3 linked regions of the Drosophila melanogaster genome follow. The protein of the gene in region 2 interacts with the protein of the main gene of each other region in a pairwise test. Each region holds a gene or a part of one and is shown on either strand. Other genes may lie near its edges. The genes, in order: CG11555, PolE2 and Parg.

Evidence for each region.
Region 1: the proteins of PolE2 (region 2) and CG11555 interact in a two-hybrid assay, tested with the Drosophila melanogaster proteins (one large-scale study listed by BioGRID).
Region 3: the proteins of PolE2 (region 2) and Parg interact in a two-hybrid assay, tested with the Drosophila melanogaster proteins (one large-scale study listed by BioGRID).

What each region holds. Positions count from the first base shown.
Region 1 is NT_033779.5:271,846-275,237, reverse strand, and holds CG11555 (uncharacterized protein), read right to left. Parts: upstream 1,403-3,392; 5' UTR 1,253-1,402; coding exon 587-1,252; 3' UTR 544-586; downstream 1-543. Other genes in the region: CG17078 (uncharacterized protein), read left to right, coding at 1-291; mbm (mushroom body miniature), read left to right, coding at 1,604-2,683, 2,732-3,271.
Region 2 is NT_037436.4:5,895,098-5,899,094, forward strand, and holds PolE2 (DNA polymerase epsilon subunit 2), read right to left. Parts: upstream 2,339-3,997; 5' UTR 2,283-2,338; coding exon 1,577-2,282; intron 1,520-1,576; coding exon 648-1,519; 3' UTR 594-647; downstream 1-593. Other genes in the region: CG5592 (uncharacterized protein), read left to right, coding at 2,551-3,193, 3,262-3,454, 3,512-3,997. UniProt on the Drosophila melanogaster protein: Accessory component of the DNA polymerase epsilon complex. Participates in DNA repair and in chromosomal DNA replication. Has a role in the entrance and progression through S phase. Has a role in endoreplication. Essential for viability and tissue development.
Region 3 is NC_004354.4:3,668,305-3,673,384, forward strand, and holds Parg (Poly(ADP-ribose) glycohydrolase), read right to left. Parts: upstream 3,199-5,080; 5' UTR 3,064-3,198; coding exon 2,351-3,063; intron 2,284-2,350; coding exon 825-2,283; 3' UTR 533-824; downstream 1-532. Other genes in the region: Ilp7 (Insulin-like peptide 7), read left to right, coding at 1-108, 231-400.

The sequences.
Region 1 (3,392 bases), on a different chromosome or scaffold from region 2:
ACGGCCGACGGCGTGGAATCGCAAATGGAGGCGAAGGTCTACATTGAAGGCCAGATAATGGCCACATTCGCCGCCAAAGACGAAGACCTGCCGGACATTCTGGCCCAGTTAATCTGCTACTACTATACCTTTAACATGATGTACCCTAAGGAAGCCAATCAAACACTCGAATTTATCGTCGTTTACTTTCTGCAGCACTCGCCGGAACAAGTGCGATCGGCCAAAAAGTCTGTGACCACCAACGGCAAGTTTAACCACCTCATCGCCAAGCTTGCCAATGTACATGGCTGAGATTTCATTTGGACGATTTTTGGCTGGAACCATGGCGCAGCGAGCGCCACTTCAATCTCCTCTTGCTCCTCCCAACGGAGGAGGAGCCGAACTCTGTTTAGTTTATTTATTTTCGCCGACCTATTCCACATGTATTTGTACCACTATTTTTAAGATTTGCATAAAGTGTGTAGTAATGTTGTGTATACATTTCTGATTTGTCACCCGACAAAGAATCTTTTATTTATTTTTTAATTGAAACTTCATGTTTTGCCAGTTGGGGTTGTGAAGTCACCTAAGGGAAAATAAGCTAAACTTATTCATTATGTGGCCCTTTCTGAAACGGATTTCTCCTATTTGGTCCCTTCTTTCGATAAGGATGTGCATTATCTCGCATTTTCTGAAAGGGATGGCTACCCTTTGCTTCTTTCGCATTTGATGATTTCACATTTCGACGTGTATGATTCGAACGTTCTAATTCGAACTTGTCCTTTGTCAGCTGTCTATATTTCAAGTCCTTTAGGGCAGATTTAAGTGTTGCATTCTTTTTCGTTAAATTGAAACCCAAAGTGAGTTGCTTTCGGAAAAAGTTCCGCTCCTTAAAAGTGAAGTTCTCAACGTCCGTGGAGAGCTGTTGTTTTCTTTCCGTGGAGGGCTTCTCATCGTTGAAGGGCTCCCATGTAGTATCCTGCGACCGGTTGGCTTCTATGACATTTCGACGGTGGTTCTTCTGACGCTGCTGCATGAACTGCCTTGCGTCCTCGCTGTCCACATCCTGGTGTCCCCGGTCCGAAGAATCCGTAATTATGTCGTTCTTCACATGCTGCCAGGGCGTCGCAGTAGCTTGTGGAACGAGCGCTGGTTTCGGTTGGACATACTTCTTTGGCTTGAACTTGGTTTTGCCCCAGTCCTTGGTGCGGCTCTGCAATTGACGTTCATGGCGATCATTATCTTCTGTTTTCTTCGGATTGGTAGAATTCATAGCGTTGTTATTTGTGGTTAAACTGAATATCGTCCATCTGACCATCTGAGGTGCCAGTTTGAGAAACTATCGAATCTAGCTATATATGTTAAATCTTATAAAAACCTTCCATTGGTCACTTCACATTTTAGTCCATTACATGTATTATGTCACATATTGTCACAGTATTATATATATATATTATATTATATATAAGGTATTCAAACTTAATATACATATAATGAATAGCAGTTTTGGCTTGAAAGAAGCCACTTCGGCAGTCCCACCAACAATCGGATCTTATCGATAACCCCAATCGGCTCAACACGTGCGCCGCAACTAGGCGGTTTTATAAATATTAACAATTCCATAATGCACAACAGTGGAGGACAATCCGGCTGGAACCTTTCAGGAGAGGAAAGAAAACCGTTTTCGAATTACGGCCGCAACAATCAGCAGAGGCGCAGCAGTGGAGGCGGGGGAAGAGGCAGCCACAGCCAAAATCGCGCCGCCAATGGAAACTGGCCAGACGCTGGATCGGAAGGTGGGCAGAATGGAAACGCGTTTAACAAGTTCAGAGATCCCCAACAGGAGCTGGATAATCATCAGCCAAACAAGAGAGGGGGCCGAAGAAATAGAGGCGGTGGCGGAGGAGGTGGTGGTTGGGGTGGCAGGCGAGGGAACCGCGGCAGAGATTCCAATAGGCGTGGTGGCCGTAACAACTCGTGGCAACCTAAGGATCAGCATGTTAGTCCTGGCCAAAGTAACATGCTGTACTTCGATAATGTGGGGGACTTTACCGAAGACCCACCTCTGCCTCGATCCTCGCCTGCTCCCTCCTCTCTCAGACAGGAGAGCCTGCCACCTGTTACTTTCGCTGCGGACTTGACGCCACCACCACCTGTATCTGTTGCACCACCTGATGTGGCTGTTACGCCAGAAGAACCTACTGTGCCGCTAATCAATATCAAGAAGGAGAAAGAAATGGAGCACAAGTCAAAAATAAAGCAATTTGTCAAAGCGGAGCCCAAATCTCCTAAAAAGAAGAAGGTTAACTCCTCTAGGTCGTCATCTACTTCGGGAGAGGAGTCTGAACCCGAACCAGGGGAAATGGTAGTCAACACTAAGGCAGTGGTGGTGCCGTCCCCAAAAGCGAAGGCCATCAAAACACCTGTAGCATCAACTCCGAAACCAAAGGCTGTAAAACCAGTTTCGTCCTCCGACTCCTCAACTTCGGACAGCGACACCGATGATGAACAGAGTCATCCGCCGGCAAAGAGTAAAAAGATGGAAAAGAACACCGAGGAGGATGTTGTCTGCATGGGCTCTCAGGAGCGCCAGTTTACCATTACCGATGAGGAGGAAAGCACCGAACCTGAAGACGACAAGAAGGCCAGAAAGCAAAAAAACAAGGGTAAAACCGTGGATGTGTGTGGCATATGCGACAAGAAGGTAAATATTTTAAAAGAATGTTACCCAATTTAAAAAAATCTCTTCCAGGGCCACACCTCCTTCCAGTGTCAGATGATATGTCGTAATTGCTCCGGTAGTTATCATGGTCTCAAAAACTGTCCAAACCCGCCCAATCTAAATATTGCCATCCAGTCGTTTGTGGAGTTTGCCATGCAGCAAATGACTGCCTTTCATTGCGAGCAAGGATTTGGATTTCCTGCTGGCACAGTCACAGCTCCAGTTTCAGCAAAACCCAAAAAGGACAAAAAGGCGTCAATAAAAAAGATAAAGAAGTCTTCACAGAAAAGGATGAAGGTGGAGCCGAAAGATCATGACGAAGAAGATGACGAGGAAGATGACGACGAAGATGAAGATGACAGCAGCGAGAGCGATGACTCGGAGTCCAGCGAAGAGCCTCACCCAGCTCCTGTGTCCAAACAGAAGCGGAAACGAGGCACCAAAGCCTCCGTATCGGCCGCAGCCAGTCTACCTCCTCAAGTGTTTCCATTTCCCCTTCTAGGCGCCCCGGGCGCCCCTTTTAACTCCATGATGTATTCTTATAGAGCTCCGTTTAATTTTTCTAAATAGTTATAGCGTGAGTTAGTTGTAAAGGAACGTGAAAGATAAATACATTTTCAATACCAATGGATTTAGTTCTTTCATTTTAATATTTACGGAATTTAGGAATTACGCCTCTGTTGTTTAAAAC
Region 2 (3,997 bases):
GAGGAAAAAAAAACCTCCCCACTTCCACATCCTACCCGGCTAATGATGTCTTAAAAAAACGATTCGGCAACTGGTCATGTGACAGCAAATGGGGGCCATCGATGTCCTCAGGTCAAACGCATTATCAAAATTGCCGTTTCAGCTGCCGAGGAGTTGCGCGCCAGCCTGGGAAATTGAATTTCCACGACCCTAAGTGGCCGGCATCGGGCAGAGTAACAATATTTTTCCAAATCGGCTTTAAGTCATGAAAAGTAATAGACAACCCCCGGTCGCCGTAAAAAGCAGATTGCGAGGCGCGTCAGCCGCACAGCCAGGAGACGATTGTGGAACACATGCTGTGCGCATATGATGACTGACGACGGTGATGATGAGACTGGGCCGCTTATCACGAGGGAACAGCCACACGCACTGGGTGCCGAAAAATGTTTCGAGCTGGCGGGCCAAGCAACATGTGAGGTCGCAGTGAGCTAAGCTCCCGAAAGAAGTTTATATCCAAATTGTTAAATTGATGGTATTCTTTCTAAATATAGGCTTGCAGTTGTTTAAAACAAAAAAAAAATTGCCCAAATAGCCCGAAATCCAAAGAGTAATCGACATATGTAATTAAATAATTATTCAAACTTACGTTAAGGTTAACTATATCATAACTACTCCAATTCGTCCGGTATCTCCGAGTCCTCAATCGTTCGCGTCGCTGGTATATACACTTTGAATGCGAACTTGGACTTGACAAAGGAGCCGGTATTGAGAACAGTGCAGCCATGTTGACTGCTGCTAAAGCTCTGACACGAATCGCCCATGACAATCAGATCCGGCAGTGGATACAACCACAGAGCAGGATCGTAGTCCCAGTGCACTGGCATGGCAATCGGATGAATGGGCACCAAATGACCCTGGCACACAATCGTTCTGGCAAAATGCTGCTCGATCTGGGACGTGTCTTCAGGAAAATGCAAGGTGTTGCGACAAAACTTGGCCATCAAATCCAGACGGCAGACCACAATCTGCTGGGTGCAGTACTGCAGGCGACACGGATTCGTAGCCAACTGGGTGCGTGGCCAGGCCTTTAGCAGCCCGGCTGCCAGGCATTCGGGAATTGGAGCACGGGGCAGAATATTAGGTGCCGTGGGATCTTCGGACGAGGGAACGAGTATCAGATCCGTTTGCTTCTTCAGCTGCTCGCAGCCAGCTGCCAAGCCACCCAATGCATCCAGGTGATGCCTCAGTTCATGATGATTCCTTGTGCTGGCCGTGAAGGGACCCATGAGCACTATAGCCTGCGGCGGACAGGAATCATAGCCCACGAACAACTGGCGCAGCTTCTCCATGACAACCGGCAGATCCAACCGAACGTCGGAAAGGAAAACAATGGTTGTTTCCGTGTTGGTACGCTCCAGTTCCTGTAGTCCGGCTGAGTACTTCAGCAGCTTAGCAGATTCACCGCCCCAAGTGTTGGCGGTGCCGAAAAATGCTCGACTGCTGTTTGCCGGTTCCGCAGGTGGAAAGCCCAGGCCATCAACTGGGGAAACATAAGAAACTCTTGAGATGTAGTTATTAAATACTTTGGGCTACTTACCCTTGAGCACACCGTTGTTATAGTTGCCCTCGGCTAAAACAAAGCAGCCCTCGCAGAAGAAGCCGGCATGGAAACGGGCTCCAGTGAGATCTAACTGGACGCAACCCGTGGGATCCTCGACATAGAACTTGCCCTCTTTAAGCTGGGTAAGTAGCCCCAAAACAACTGCCTCCTTCATCGCCGACGTGGCCAGCAGGTTCTCCGCGAACTGGAGCTTAAATTTCTTGGCCTGGGCCTCGGCCCCAACGCCATCCTGTATGACGGCTGGGGCAAAGAGATCGTGTCGCAGAGTTTTCTGTAGTAACATGGCATATCGTTGCTGCATGTAGTCCGATTTCATGCGCGGGGCGGTCAGCAACTGGCGCGGCTGAGTGTCCAGTTCGAATTTCTTTATCCGCTGGTTGTACCGAAAACGGGGCACCGTAAAGGCATCGATCAGGGCAAAGACCGTCTCCCCTTCATCCAATCCCACCCGGTTAAGTTCATTGATGGCCTTCTCCAGGGCGGCTCGCTCCACATGAGGCGTCAAAAGCTTTTGGCTTTGGAGATTCTCGGTGATCACCGTCAGCCATTTGTCCCGTTCCGCTGCGTCAAAGGGTAGCAGCTGCTCCGCCAGGTAGGAACTGTTCTCCGAGCGGATCAGGAATCCACATAGCTTGAAGGTGTTTGTTATTCGCTTTCTCAGCGGCAGTAAATCCACATCCATTGTTATTAAAAGTTTTTTCGCGCGCAAATTAGATATGGATGTTGTCAATTATCGATATCTATGTGCATTTGTGTGACCAGCCGAACATGAAGCTAAAATAGAAGGCCTAGAAAGTAATCGAAAATTGGCGGAAAAAAGTGGAGTTCAAAAAGTTGATATTTGAATGGTTTATTCAAAATAACATATATTTAACTATTTAAGGTTCAAAAAGAGGGCTTTAAAGAAGTTGGCTTTTGTTTAGTACATATTTATAATATTAAATGTCGAAATGCCCCCCAGAGATTGTGAAAAGTATGAGAACTTCTTGCTGTTCATTGGGGACTTTGGCCCCTTTCAGAAGCGACTGCTGTTTTGGATGATGCCCGCCGCCTTTCTGTTCGCATTCACCTACTTTGGTCAGATATTTATGATACTGTTGCCAAAGAATCACTGGTGCAGAGTACGAGAACTAGAGGGACTGCCGGAAAGTGAACAAAAGAATCGGGGAATCCCCAAAAAGCAAGATGGCAGTTTCGAGAATTGTTTTATGTACAATGTGCCCTACGACTCAAATGCGACCAACGATGCGAATCAGACAAGGAGCCCGATACCTTGCAACAATGGTTGGATCTATGATCGCAAGGAGGTGCCCTACGAGTCCATCGCTACCGAGTACAATTGGGTGTGCGACAAAAGGGATTTCGGGACATATAGCGTCGTTGTCTACTTTGTGGGCTGTATTGTTGGTTGCCTCTGCTTTGGATTCATAACCGATCATTCCGGTCGCTTGCCTGCACTATTTCTGGCCAACTCCTGTTCCATGATCGGCGGTTGCGTAAGTGTGGTCTGCAAGGACTTTCCCTGCTTTGCTGCCAGCCGATTTGTGGCTGGACTGTCAATGAACTACTGCTTCGTTCCCATTTATATTCTAAGTGAGTGTTGCAGAGTCAATTAACATAAATCATAAATTTAAATATCATCATCACATTCTTTTCAACAGCTTTGGAGAACGTTGGCATCAAGTATCGCACACTGGTGGGGAACTTAGCCCTCACATTCTTCTTCACCTTGGGCGCCTGCTTGCTTCCCTGGCTGGCCTATGTCATCAGTAATTGGAGGCACTATGCCATGGTCGTTGCCCTGCCAATTGTATTCATGATATTGACCAGCTTGCTGGCTCCAGAGTCACCAAGGTAAATTAATGATAACAATAGGTTTTCAAGCTATCTAAACTTCATTTCCCACTGCAGTTGGCTTATGTCGGTGGGTAAAGTGGACCGGTGTATTGAAGTCATGAAAGAAGCGGCCAAAGCCAATGGAAAAATCATTTCCGAAGAGGTTTGGTCCGAGATGCGGGAATGCTATGAACTTAAATTTGCCAACGAGCAATTGGGAAAGCAGTACACCAGTCTGGATCTCTTTAAGACATTTCCCAGGCTCGTCGTCTTAACGATTTTGATTGTCACATGGATGACTGTGGCCCTAGCATACGATGCCCATGTTCGCGTAGTCGAAATCCTGGACACAGATATATTTATAACCTTTTCCCTTTCCTCGCTCGTTGAAATTCCTGCTGGAATCGTACCAATGCTTTTGCTAGATCGAATTGGTCGCAAGCCCATGATGTCGGCTGTCATGCTATTGTGTGCAGCATCCAGTCTCTTCGTTGGTATTCTAAAAGGACATTGGAATGCATCAACGGCAGCGATTGCAGCCAGATTTTTCGCCACAATGGC
Region 3 (5,080 bases), on a different chromosome or scaffold from region 2:
TCCGCCAGCTATATTGGGCCTGCGAGAAGGACATTTACCGACTGACACGGCGCAACAAAAAGAGGACGGGCAATGATGAGGCTTGGATCAAGAAGACAACCACGGAACGTAAGTTGTTGAATCGAAATCCATTCCAACCAAAGACGATTGGAATTTCAAGCGATGTACACATGTACATCTATGCTATAGATCCATTGATATCGATATGATACCACCTGCTGTCTTTCCAGCTGATGGCTCCACCTGGCTGCACGTGAACTATGCCAACATGTTTCTGCGAAGTCGTCGATCGGATGGAAACACTCCATCGATATCGAACGAATGCTGCACCAAGGCGGGCTGCACCTGGGAGGAATACGCCGAGTATTGTCCATCCAACAAGCGACGCAATCACTACTGATTGGCCATCGACGTTGGATCTGCTTAGATATATATATATATATACGAACAAACAAATATATATTCGCTTTTTTTTTCGTGGTTGTTGTTGTTGATGTTCTTGTTGTGGTCAAATAAAATAAACAAAAGGTTTCGGTTAAATAAAAAGAAACTTTACTGGCTTTAACTACAAATTTCGCATAATAAAAGCTAGATTTGCATGATATAACAAATTATATTAATCAATCAATGTTATACAAATTTAACAGTAAAATTGTCTTTGCAGATTAGAATAGTATAATTAAAAAAAAAAAAAAAATTTCACTTTATTCGACTTACAATGATCCTACTTTAAAATGCCCTAAATATGTCCTTAAAGTTATCTACAATACATTTTATACCTCTTCAATTTTGGGGGCAGTAACAATCCTGTAGTGCAATATCACCTAGTCAACAATATCGTCCTTTTCGTCCTTGTCGGTCACATCGATCTCCTTACGACTCTTTGCTGAACCCTCAGCCTTGCTGCAGTTGGGTGATTTTCGTGGCCTCTTCGAGGCCGAACCCTTTTCATAATGGGTGTCCAGCATCTCGAGCAGGCTCAACTGGCGGCCACCTGAACCCATTGATTTCGTGGCTGTACTGCTCGTTTTGGACGTTGTGCTGCTGTTGCTTATTTCTACGCTGCTTTTAGCCTCCAGACTAGCGGCCTCCATCATGGCATTGGCCTCCTCATCGTCCGACAGCATAAGAAGGGCCTGATCTTCCGAAGAATTTGAGTTATCTTGCGATAATTGCGCGGGCAATAGATCGGTACTTTGTTGCGTTATGGTGATTTGCGGTCGGGCGGGTTGCTTGTTGAGTTCTGGCGAGGATTTCGCTGATGTTTCTGATTTTCCTTCGCCTAATCCAGCTACTCTAGAGCTTCCAGCTTCGGCGGATGCTCCCTCTCCGGGCACATCTCTGACCTTCTTAAGTTCCTCTTTAATAAAATCATATAGCTTCTTTTTGGATGCCTTATTCTCACGCGGCTCCTTGGAGCTCTTCTCCTTAATAAGCCTACTGTACGACCTTAAAATACTCCAAAGCTGCTGCACCGTAGTCCCGTCATTTCGAAACAACAGCCACATTTCATGAAAATCATCCCTAAACTCCACATTTCCAAAGGTATAGTAGGCCAAAGGTCTGCCCAACTGGGCGCAGACCATAAGTTGCAGCAGGGCTTTCAGATAGGAGTCACCGCCGAATGCGCCGCAACCCCAGTTACCAGTTGCCACACCCGGTGGCGGCGTCACCATCCAGTGAACAAATCCAATGTACGCCTTGTTCAGCTCCCTTTCCATGAGATCCTCGCGATATTGATGATGTGACTGGGCAAAATGTAGGGCATCGATTGCCACAATGGCCGTTTGTCGACGACCTGAGCTATCTCTTGGCGTTGAATCCTCAAAGTTGCCGGACCACTCGAAGCTTCCGGCATATCCCGTATAGTTACTATACCTTTCGGCGCCCAACATCACCAGGGCCTCGAATGGTCGCAGACACTCCGTAAAGAGTTTACCCACCAATAGCTCCGGACAGATAACAAAGCGTATCTCCTCCTGAACGCAGCCATGTCCCAAGACACCGCCACCCAAATATTTGTTGGCAAAGTCTACTTGCAGCAGTCCAATGCCCTCATCCTCGATTGTTCCCTCGGCATCCACGTGCAATGGCACATCACCCAACGGCGCCGCACTTTGGCTCCAGTCGATCAGATGTTCCGGCAATCCGCTCCGACGAACAAAGGTTACCACACCGGTGGGCACATTGCTGGCATCCCGCTCTGTGGGACACACGCGACGAAAATAGTGCATAATGCATTTAAGCTTCTCCAGAACTGCCGGTCCCGTCGATTGGTAAAGCCTTTTGATGGAATCGAATATATTTAACATACTTCGACTGAAGATATACGAATCTGGTGGACGCTCACCTGTTAAAGTTGATGTCTGGAAAAGTGCTGTACTCGGACTTCCTCTTGAGGGTGTTTCTCCGGGGAAAGGTGCACAGGAAGGCATTGGCCAACAGGCAGGAGATCTGCTGTTGGCTCAGGCTCAATGAGGCGTTCTTGTGGTGCTTGAGCAGCGGAACTGGCGATTGAATCAAGTCCGGTAGCCGCAATGCCAATCGGATAATGCGCGGCAATAGATCCTCGAAGAAAACCCGTGTTTCGCTCTCGTCCAGTTCCTCGTCGAGAAGTTGATGAAGGGCACGAAAGTGCCACTGATCCCTATAGGTGGTATTATATGATATTATCGCCGCCTGCAGTTCCTCACACGTCTTTATGGGCTGCAGAAGGGCTCGTTCGATCATTTCCCAGCGAAAATCGATGGTGGTGCTGCCATCCGGATTCTCCCTCGGATATTTCGACTCGGGCGCACAGGGCAGACGCACATGCTCGGAGTCCCACTTTCCCGGTGATTTGTAGGGGCGTGGCGGTGTTTCACGAATTGGCAGCTGGTACATAACCCGGTGGAGATTGCCGGCAGTCACTGGTGGCAAATTCTCCAATTCGAAAGGCTGCCGATTACGATGTATAGCCTCCATGGAAACTCCACGCCACGAATCATCTAGGGAGTTCGCCAGATTTTCCGGCTCCTCCTCCGTTTCTATTTCGGAAATCCCGCCATCCGGCGACTTCGACATCCTGGCGCAGTTTAAGCACAAAGCCTTGCCGAGTCGATTGGTCAGCACGGATGCACTTGCTCTGCGGCGATTTGCCGTAGATTGGTAAACCTTTTGGAATATCGGAAAAATCAAGTGTGACCTGAATTCTTGCATACCGGTGTTTTGGGGATGAGCGATAGCTGTGATGAATATCGCACTTTATAAATACCACACACTTCGATTGAAGCGTAGTGAATTGAAGCGTTTATATATCGAAATATATTCAAATATATGTTGGTATTCGTTTGAGAATGAATCAATAACAAATTCAAAATTGCATTGCCTTGAATTCGGCGGGCGAAAGTGTGACCATTACATGTGGTATTTTACCTCTCATTGTCGCTAGTATTTAAATACCAGCACGAGAAATACCAACACTGTGTCCGTTGCAATGCGAATTGCAAATATAACCGCCGAAGGAACAACAACAAACAAAAAGAAAAAAAAAACAAATCTTCCAGCAATTTGTCAACTATTTTCTCTAATTTTTTTTTAAAGTGTAAAACTATCATAACGAGCGCCAAGTTTTACGTTAAGTGAAAGGATTTTTTCCTGTCCTTCGTGCGGTAAAAATAATAGTGCATATTACCAAGGAAAATCAAGTTAAAGGCGTCTGCGAAACTTTTATAAATGTATTTAATACTCAAAAAGGTAAGAAGCGGCGGAAAGTAATTGCTGTTTTATGTTTTTATAATCACGTTTGGCAAGAAAATGTTATTTCGTTGACGTCAGTGGTCAAATCAAATTTTTTCAGTTTTTAACCCTTAATGTGGCACTGTCACTCGCACCTATGTATATATTTATGTGATTGTGGTATTTTGCTCAAGCTTACGTGTTGAAAAGAGGAAGAGAAACCGCTGCATACACGTGCAAAGACTCTGAGAATGGACACAAGAGAGCGAGAGAGGGAGAGAGAGAGAGCGCAGTTGTTTGTTTTGAAAGCGTCGCAAAAACAATACAAAAAAGGTCATACATAATTTGCACACACACTTGCATCTGAGGAAAACGCAAAAGCAAATTCACAGCTAGCTAAAAACCAAAATAAATATAATTTATGAAATGTACTTTTGCTAAAGTTCAACACACCTTTATCTCTCCGCGAAATTTGTTTGCACCATCTCTTTCTCTCCTTTTTGCGTAAACAAACGAAAAAGCTTTGCAAGGAGAAGCAAAAAAAAAAAACACAAAAACAAAAATCGAATTATCAGTAGAATTCTACAAAGAAGAGGCGTTTCTCTTCATCGCTCTTCGTACCTGAGCGTAGCCTTCAAATTTGCTTAGATTTCGCCTTGACCATAACCTAGAAATACTCGAAAAAAGTACTGTCAACTCTCAATAAGTTAAACGATCGATTTTCACATAAAGAGATAGAGAGAGAAAGAGACCAGATATTAAGTGAAATTTATTTTACTAAATAAATTTTCAGAAAAAGGTGTAAATCCCGAGCATTTAGATTTCGTTGATGAACTTTAACGCAATGGGAGTCTGCACTGTACATGTAGAGCTTTCTCTTTTCTCATTTGCGTCAGCGAAAATACTAGGAATAATCGGGGGTGGCGTTTCGGGGGTTGGCAAAAAAAACAAGCAACAACAAAAATGCATAGAGCCGAATAATCGCTTGGAAAAAGCGAGCGACGAAAACGCGATGTTAGTAAACTTTTCAAGGTCACCTCAAAAGCATGAACTTATACTAATCAACAGCTGAAAGAAGCAGAAGACTGCACTTCCATGAGTCAGTTTCAGAAATTAAACAAAACGAGGGAACCAAACCAATTTGAAAATTCAATTTACATATTTGTGGAAATTTCTGTTCTTTATTAATTAATATACAGATTTTAAAGAAATAATTCATTTTTGTATCCGAATTCTGATGCACTTCACACATAATTAAAGCAATGTTACCATAAATTATATGGTAGGCAGATTGTATTGTATGAAGAATAAAGTATGGAATAAGCATAAAATATAATAATATATGTATGTATAGAATAACATC